2 linked regions of the Lepisosteus oculatus genome follow. The protein of the gene in region 1 purifies or fractionates together with the protein of each later gene. This does not show direct contact. Links are inferred from orthologs where the notes say so. Each region holds a gene or a part of one and is shown on either strand. Other genes may lie near its edges.

Evidence for each region.
Region 2: the proteins of fgfr1op2 (region 1) and serine/threonine-protein kinase 24 purify together in Homo sapiens (affinity purification with mass spectrometry; 4 studies listed by BioGRID and IntAct, with this or other methods). This does not show direct contact. The link is inferred for Lepisosteus oculatus from reciprocal best matches to the Homo sapiens genes FGFR1OP2 and STK24.

Annotation. Positions count from the first base shown.
Region 1 is NC_090702.1:54,195,659-54,199,579, forward strand, and holds the start of fgfr1op2 (FGFR1 oncogene partner 2 homolog), read right to left. Parts: upstream 2,704-3,921; 5' UTR 2,689-2,703; coding exon 2,640-2,688; intron 1,794-2,639; coding exon 1,657-1,793; intron 1,160-1,656; coding exon 1,042-1,159; intron 290-1,041; coding exon 147-289; intron 1-146. UniProt on the Homo sapiens protein: May be involved in wound healing pathway.
Region 2 is NC_090710.1:6,273,692-6,277,612, reverse strand, and holds the start of serine/threonine-protein kinase 24, read right to left. Parts: upstream 2,451-3,921; 5' UTR 1,792-2,450; coding exon 1,750-1,791; intron 1-1,749. UniProt on the Homo sapiens protein: Serine/threonine-protein kinase that acts on both serine and threonine residues and promotes apoptosis in response to stress stimuli and caspase activation.

The sequences.
Region 1 (3,921 bases):
GTCAGGTACTTGATTATTCCAGTAAAAAAGCCATCAGTAAAAGTGAATGCCAAGGGTAATGCCTAACATATGGTTTAAGAAGAAGGTTTAAGAAGCCCGCACAAAGTTAAAAGTCCTTTAAATCTAACAGTGAATCTGATACTCACGTTGGAATGCTGCTCTTTCAGCTTTGTGATTATGACAGGGTCGTCTTTTTTGCTGGCCATTAACAACCTGAAGACCTGCTCCCTGTATTTGCTCATGATGAGCTCAAGAGCTGACTGGTGCTCCTCCAAAGAAGTGCGCAGTTCTGTGAAAAAGAGCAGACACGACAAGCAGTCTTTTACAATGTACACACTTACTGTTCAGTTCTTCTGATGTAGGCCAGGGGGAGGAAATAATCACTAAGCTGACTACTTTGAGTAACTCAGTAAAAGGAATCTGCTAAAGGTACAATCGCAATTTACAATACATCTTTCAGACAATGCTTAATCTTCCCAACTCTTTGCCAACTACTGTTGTTTTCTTGCTAATATTAACAAGAGGTGTGACCCAAGACAACGCCTTTACTTTCACTGGAAGATCATTTTTGTGAACTGAGGACTTCTATCATAGGAGTAAATGGACATTTTTAAGGAATGGACAGGTGGAAAAAATAATGGGATTTCACTTCATCTTAAACTACACAAAATTGAAGAACTTAACACATCTGAACAATTGAAAGGGTTTGTGTAGCTGCAAAGAAACAAGTAAAAAAGAAGAAAGTTTTTTGGCTATTGAGCCTTCTTCAGGTGTGAGGGAGAAAGAGGGAGGACGTAGGGCTATAAAGCACAGGAGAACAACGGCAGGTGAGAAAGTGTCCGAAACGCTCAGCAGCTGAAGCCTTGTGCTCTTTCTTTCTGCTGAGCAGCGTGGAATCAGCCTTCACTCGGGTCTGAATGGTGCTGACTGCAGCCACACATTCAAATGGAGAGGAAAGAAAAGAGATGAAAAGGTGTGGTTCTCTAAGATACGAATGATTATTCTGCTGATGTGTTTCGTCTCGTGGCACGCGAGTCTCACCTTTGTTCTCCTGCTGCAGGTCTCTGATCTGGCGGTTCTCCTGTTGAATGCCCATGACCAGGGTCGACCGAGGCCGGTGTCTTGCCACCTCGTTCAGCTCTTGGATCTCCTCCTGGTACTGAGGGCAAATCAAAGGTGCATCTCAAAAAGCCCTCTTCAGATTTCATCAACATGAATACGCTTTCGTGCACCGAGACGTGGAAATGTATTTAAAGCAGAGAACAGGAGATCTGTCTTTGCCAAAGGGTAGTGGGAGTCTGAAACAAGCCACCCAGCCACGTTGTTGAAGCTGATACTCTGTTTTTTTTCTAGAAACAGCTGGATGAGATCTTGAGGTCAATTCACTACTAACTGTCAGGTGCGCTAGTTGGGCTAAATGGCCTATTCTCACTTGTGGTTGCTCTTTTGCACTAGTAGGCACCTTGTGTTGTTGCAACCAAGTGATCGAAATCTCTCATCTATTTCTTTGGCATGCATTTCACAAGCACAAAGCTCCTTAACTTCAGACAGTGGTCTGAGAACAGAAATCCACCCCCTTGTTCTTCAGTGATTCACTGTTGCTTCCCGACTTCTGACACAAAATGCATACAGCTGTTTGCCGAAAGGCAGCGTTACCTGTTTCATTGCTTCAACTCGCTTGTTTAGGGAGGTTGTCTGCTCAATCAGCACCTCGGCAGCACTGTCATGGTCTCTCAGCCTGTCCACAAGGGCTTTAGCGTCAGCCAGAACTCTGTCTATCGTACAGCTCATTTCTGCAAAACATGGGGACAATAGCCATTTGACAACCGTGAAGAGAATACACCCCACAGCAGGTCGAGTGAAGAGCATCCCAGCGATCAGAGGGGGCATGCTCCGAACGTATGATTCCACTGTAAGAAGGAGGAAATCACAACGCCGCTCTGAAAGAATTCATAGCATAGCAAAATAAGATGAGAAAGAATGTATATACACTACCCTAAGAGAATCAGACCCCCCAGCTTCACCTGCAATACCAATCAACTGGAATCAGGGTGATCACAGAAAGAACTGATCAGTACCTGGATGGGAGACCTCCTGGGAAAAACTAAGGTTGCTGCTGGAAGAGGTGTTAGTGGGGCCAGCAGGGGGCACTCACCTTGCAGTCCATGTGGGTCCTAATGCCCCAGTATAGTGACGGGGACACTGTGCTGTAAACAGGCGCTGTCCTTCGGATGAGACGTAAAACCGAGGTCCTGACTCTCTGTGGTCATTAAAAATCCCAGGGCGTTTCTCGAAAACAGTAGGGGTGTAACCCCGGCGTCCTGGCCAAATTTCCCATTGGCCCTTACCAATCATGGCCTCCTAATAATCCCCATCTATCAATTGGCTTCATTACTCTGCTCTCTTCCCCACTAATAGCTGATGTGTGGTGAGCGTTCTGGCGCACTATGGCTGCCGTTGCATCATCCAGATGGATGCTGCACACTGGTGGTGGTGGAGGGGAGTCCCCATTACCTGTAAAGCGCTTTGAGTGAAGTGTCCAAAAAAGCGCTATATAAGTGTAAGCAATTATTATTATTATTATTATTAATTATTAACAGACTTTATCGGCCTAATCTGAATTGAGTAGACAGCCTCACCTTTTTTCATGAGAAGGCTGTGGTGTTGTGAATCCTTTTTCTGTTCCATTATTAGAAAGGTCTCTGTAGATGTACAATTTTCAAAACATTGCCGTTGGAGAATTAGGTTTCCAGAGCTATTACAAAGCCTGTGCTTCACAAACACATGTTTCAATTCACAGAACAAGGCATCTGCTAGAGCTGCTCAAGAACAGCAACAGCAGCTTTGATGGGCTACATGTAGGCTACTCCAGTCACGGGGACCACAGGAGAATCTCCGAATGATCAACTGTAATGTTGAGACATTCTTGGTTTTACTTTAAAGTAAACATTAACTCTTACGCGCTAATAATAATAATAATTGCTTACACTTATATAGCGCTTTTCAGGACACTCAACTCAAAGCTCTTTACAGGTAATGGGGACTCCCCTCATCCACCACCAATGTGCAGCCCCACCTGGATTATTTAATATTAAATTGTGGGGACTGACAAGTAAGAACACACGTCCTAATAGAAGGCACGTTGTTTCTCCAATGCTAGATCGCAGAGAGATTCTCATCCTTCGGTACCATAATCCACTACGGTTTTTATAAGTCTCTTAAGGACCATTAAAGCATATCTAAACTATCAGTGGGGCAGAGTTTGGGATTTAAAGAAACACAGAACGCGTACAGTATTCCGGGAATCGATAAGTCGAACCCAACCCCCTGAATCCTGGAATAAGACAAACATACAGCCTGATCTACAGCTCCTACCAATGAGCAAACAAGAAGTTTCCCTTATTCTGACACTTAACCGACGGTTCTGTCCAATGATTTTGTCCGATCACTATCACAGGGGGCAGCATTCATTCATTTTTTCCCCCAAAGGACACGCAACTGCCGACTGTTTTATAAATCCTGAAAATCCAGACCAGAGAACCGATTCGACATCCTCAGAAGTTTTTGGCAGTGTTAAGAAAAACAACGAATGTGTCGACGGTCATCCCTGTTGCACTATGTTCATTATGATACATAAAAGCCTATGTTGAATTAAAATATTTTAATTTTCACAATGGTTTACTCTGAAGTGCAATACTCATGACGCGAACTTCTTTATTTCTAAAGTGATTAATACGTAATCTAGTTTAAATTAAGTGTATCACTGACTGCTGCACCGAATATACAGCACTTCCTAATTAATTTTATAAATGTACACATTCAAACATAAATGCCTACATTAATCAACTATATATTAGGCCTATTAACTTTTCTATTTTTACATATAACACAATTTCAAACCTTACCTGAGAACTCCAGCGC
Region 2 (3,921 bases), on another chromosome or scaffold:
TGCACACTATCTCACATCCTTTTAGATGGCACTTAAAAAGTTAAAAGATAGCATGAACTGTAAATGTCTAGCTCTGTAAAATAGTCTTGCGTGCAGAAAGTGGAGATTTATTTCTGAATAGAAGTAGCAAAAAGGAAATCTATACAGTACACACTGTGAACTTTAGTTTCTACATTACAACAAAGAACATGCCAAACATCTCTTTTTGCAAGGTTTACAACTTATTTTGTAAATTGTGGTGTTATTTCTAGTGTAATCATTAGGATGTCACATGTAAAGACATGCAGAAGCAAAGCATTTAGTCATTCAGTCCCCCTTCAACGGTCAACGTTTTTAGCTAAATTTCTTAGAATACTAGGAATTCTGCTGAATACAAGCCTGATTGGGGGAAACACTTCAACAACCAATTCAATCCCAGATACATAATGAGGCCCCAATGACGTACAATTTGCCAATGTGTCAATTATGGATGACATCACAGCTTCACAGCCATAACTAGAGAGAATTTTCTACTTAACACTTGTTAAGGCGGAAATCCATTAATCTCTAAACAGCCTTTGTAGTTGAGCAATTGAGCAGCCTGAATGCAGTAATGCATTCATGTCAGCCTGAAACGTACTAAAAGGTTATTTCGTATTCCTTTAGGTCTTATATTATCTTAAAGTGATTCCTTTAAAAATATTTTTTTTTACCACGTCGGTGCCGAAAGCAAATAGGCATTTAACATAGCAGTTAGGTGACGATTTACTCTGTGATCATCTACTTGGTTAATACAGTAAAAAAGTGCACGGAATCAAGACACTGACGACCTTAAATTAGAGGCACCTTTTCTGCGTAACTGCAAAAGGATTCAAATTTTCAAGTCGTCTGCTGACAATTCCAACAGCATTGTAATTAACGTTATATTTTAATCTAACCCTTGTTCTTTACAATACGTCCCAAATAGAACAACTGTCCAATCAAAAATTATATTTATTGATTAAATAACCCCACAACGAAGCAAACTCTACTGCTCTATGTAAAGGTTACACTCGGTACACCATCCTGCTACAAAGAATACGGCATGAGTGCTCTCCTTTACAGGCCAAAATCGTCAAAAAAAATGTTGAAAGTAAACATCCTCAAGGGCGTCTCTTCTACCCTCAACTATTCAAAGGTTTAACCCCTAGAAAAGATGCATATCTACCGTCCTTATATCTAACTCTTGCAAAGTGCATTTGTCGTTAAAGGCAAATGCTGTACAGACCCTCTTTTCCTGTTAGTGTTCTTATGTTTCGGCTGTTAACAAACGCAACATTCCGCTAGGAAATTAAGTACAGCAATGCACATTGCACTTCGGTGGTCCTGTCCCTACGGACGGCTCTCAATTACTCCAGTGCCCCGGAGAACACGGGACTCGAGCGGGTAAGGTCTCACAGGCCTCTCGTAGTCCCCCCACTTCCTCGCTACTCCTACACTTAAAAGTGCAGGAAGGGGGAAATGTTTGCATCACCAAAAGCAACATCTCTACAGAGTCGAAGCCGGCTGGAGCGCCACGATTTCGAGTAATGTGCTTTCGTGTACTGCTGGGCACAACGTCTCACCGCAGTTCTCCGCCTAGTGCGATACAATATTGCCGCTTGGCAAGCTACAGATGTTTTTAAGTAACGATTGTGTCTTGTTTGCCGCGGTACGCATTTCAGGGTCGTGTAATGTTTTTCCCACTTAGTAGGTTGAACATTTAAAGAAAACGGAAGGTGAATGTCTTACCTGCATCCCAGGCAGGCCAGTCTGCACCGGGGAGTGAGCCATGGCGTACAGCAGTTTGAGCCCGAGAACTTGTCAAGAAACAACAACACGATCTCCTAACTCGGATCCCAGCAAATGCGAATTTGTATATTCCTGTCCTCTTTGATTTGTAGGTTATGTCCTGTAGATACGAGAATTTATCCACAGAAAACAATAAATTTAAAAAAAAATCACAGACTGACTTCTGGCAGCCCGGATCAGGTTTACCCAGCTTTCCGAAGGGTCCTTCCCTTTTTTTTTGTTTGGATGAAAACCAAACTATTTACCCCCAGAACATGAACTACAAAAATAAAAAAATAAAAATCAACGCATACGGATCACAGTCCGAGACAGTTTTTTTAAAATATACGCGCCGGTGACGTGCTGTGCCTCGGCATTTTATTTTTTTCACGAAAGGGAGCGCAGGCTTTTTGCTTTGGTGTGCAATTCGTCTTCCGTGGACAGATCTCCCACCGTAACACACAAACAAGGGTGCATGTGCTCCGCTACCATCCCACCACTGCTTGTCCAAAAAGGTGGCGCCCGTGTTTCGAAACCCACCCTACAGTAGCGCTTAAAATGATAATCAGCGTTAGAGCAGTTACGATATATTATTGTGTTGTCCTCCTCACTCTGCTCTCCTGCCCTCCGCCATCTTGTCAGCACTGTCACTCTGACATCAGGGCGGATCCGGGCTCCCAGGCCCAGTGGCGCTCCTGCACCGGCAGAGGGAGCCACTCTTCCCGGCTCGCTCGGTCCTTCACTCCCGGGCAGAATGTTGGCCAGCCTCTACTCTGCTCTGCTGTGCAAAAGTAATAATAATAATTAATAATTGCTCGCACTTATATGGCTCTTTTCTGGACACTCCACTCAAAGCGCTTTACAGGTAATGGGGTCTCCCCTCCACCACCACCAATGTGCAGCATCCACCTGGATGTGTTATTTTAAGCTTATGCAATTACATTCGCCCGAAACGTGCAGTTGTTATAATATGCACAGGATATAATATGCACGTTCGAGCACAGGATTTGTGACAGAAATGATATAAATTTGATGGCTGTACAAAAAAAAAACCCATAAACCATTGAAGATTAACTTAATATTCATAGACGGGTGTTCTCGCCTAGGCCCCCCAAGGAAACGGAAACTTTAACCCATGTAATGGTAACCGTAATGGTGGCGCATTGGTTAGTATTGCTGGGGCCCTGACTTCAATTTCTGCGCTGCTGTCTGCGTGGAGTTTGTCTGTTCTGTCCGCGTTCGCACGGGTTTCCGTTTACCAAAAACGCTGTAGGTGATTTGGCTTCCCGCTAAGGTTCTAGGTGTAACTGGGTGGCTCCCCCGCAATCCTGAATTGGAAAAAGTAATTAGAAAGCAGATGGATGTAGTATTTATGTAAAAAAAATGCATGACTGCTGGTCGGTACAATGACCATACTTTTGGACCATTTTTTTCAAATATCTTGTCCACTTGGGTCACGTTGTTGATGCAAGTTTGCACAACAAAGGTGTGAATTAGCACACGCAATGTGCGGTCGTCTACTATATTGTAATGGAGATTATGATTAATAAGGATGATTATTTGACTCCTACTTTTTGTTTTACTTGCATTTATGCTGGCTACCGCAAATATGTAATACTCGTGATGAAATAACCACACACATGCCTTTTCTCCGTGATCGAGTTGCTGACAGAAGTGAAAATCTAGTTTCACCTGTCCAGCTGGACGTACTGTACCTTGTGCAAAGCTTTTGGTTCAAGAGAAAAAGCGCAGACCATTAACACTGTAGCCATTTTCTCAGTGCATCGCCTGGACATGCGATTATACCGTTCAATTTGGGTTCTGTCCGATTCCTACAAATCTCCAACAGTGACTGTACTGGGGAGTAAATTAAGGAAACAGTTCAATATATGGAAAGTGTCATGTAATTTGTTCACGGCTTTTGTTCATTAAGTTAGGAAAAAATTCACAACAAAACTTGTGCTTCACACTTGCTCTTTATGTAAGACAGTCACGTAGTCAAAAACAAGTAAAAAAATAAAAAAGGGTCAACATTAGTGAAAAACTATATATTGTTATCAAGATATGGAGTTTTAAAATTATTTATTAAAACAACAAAAGAAGGCGATGATGGAAATACAGTGCCCTCTGGTT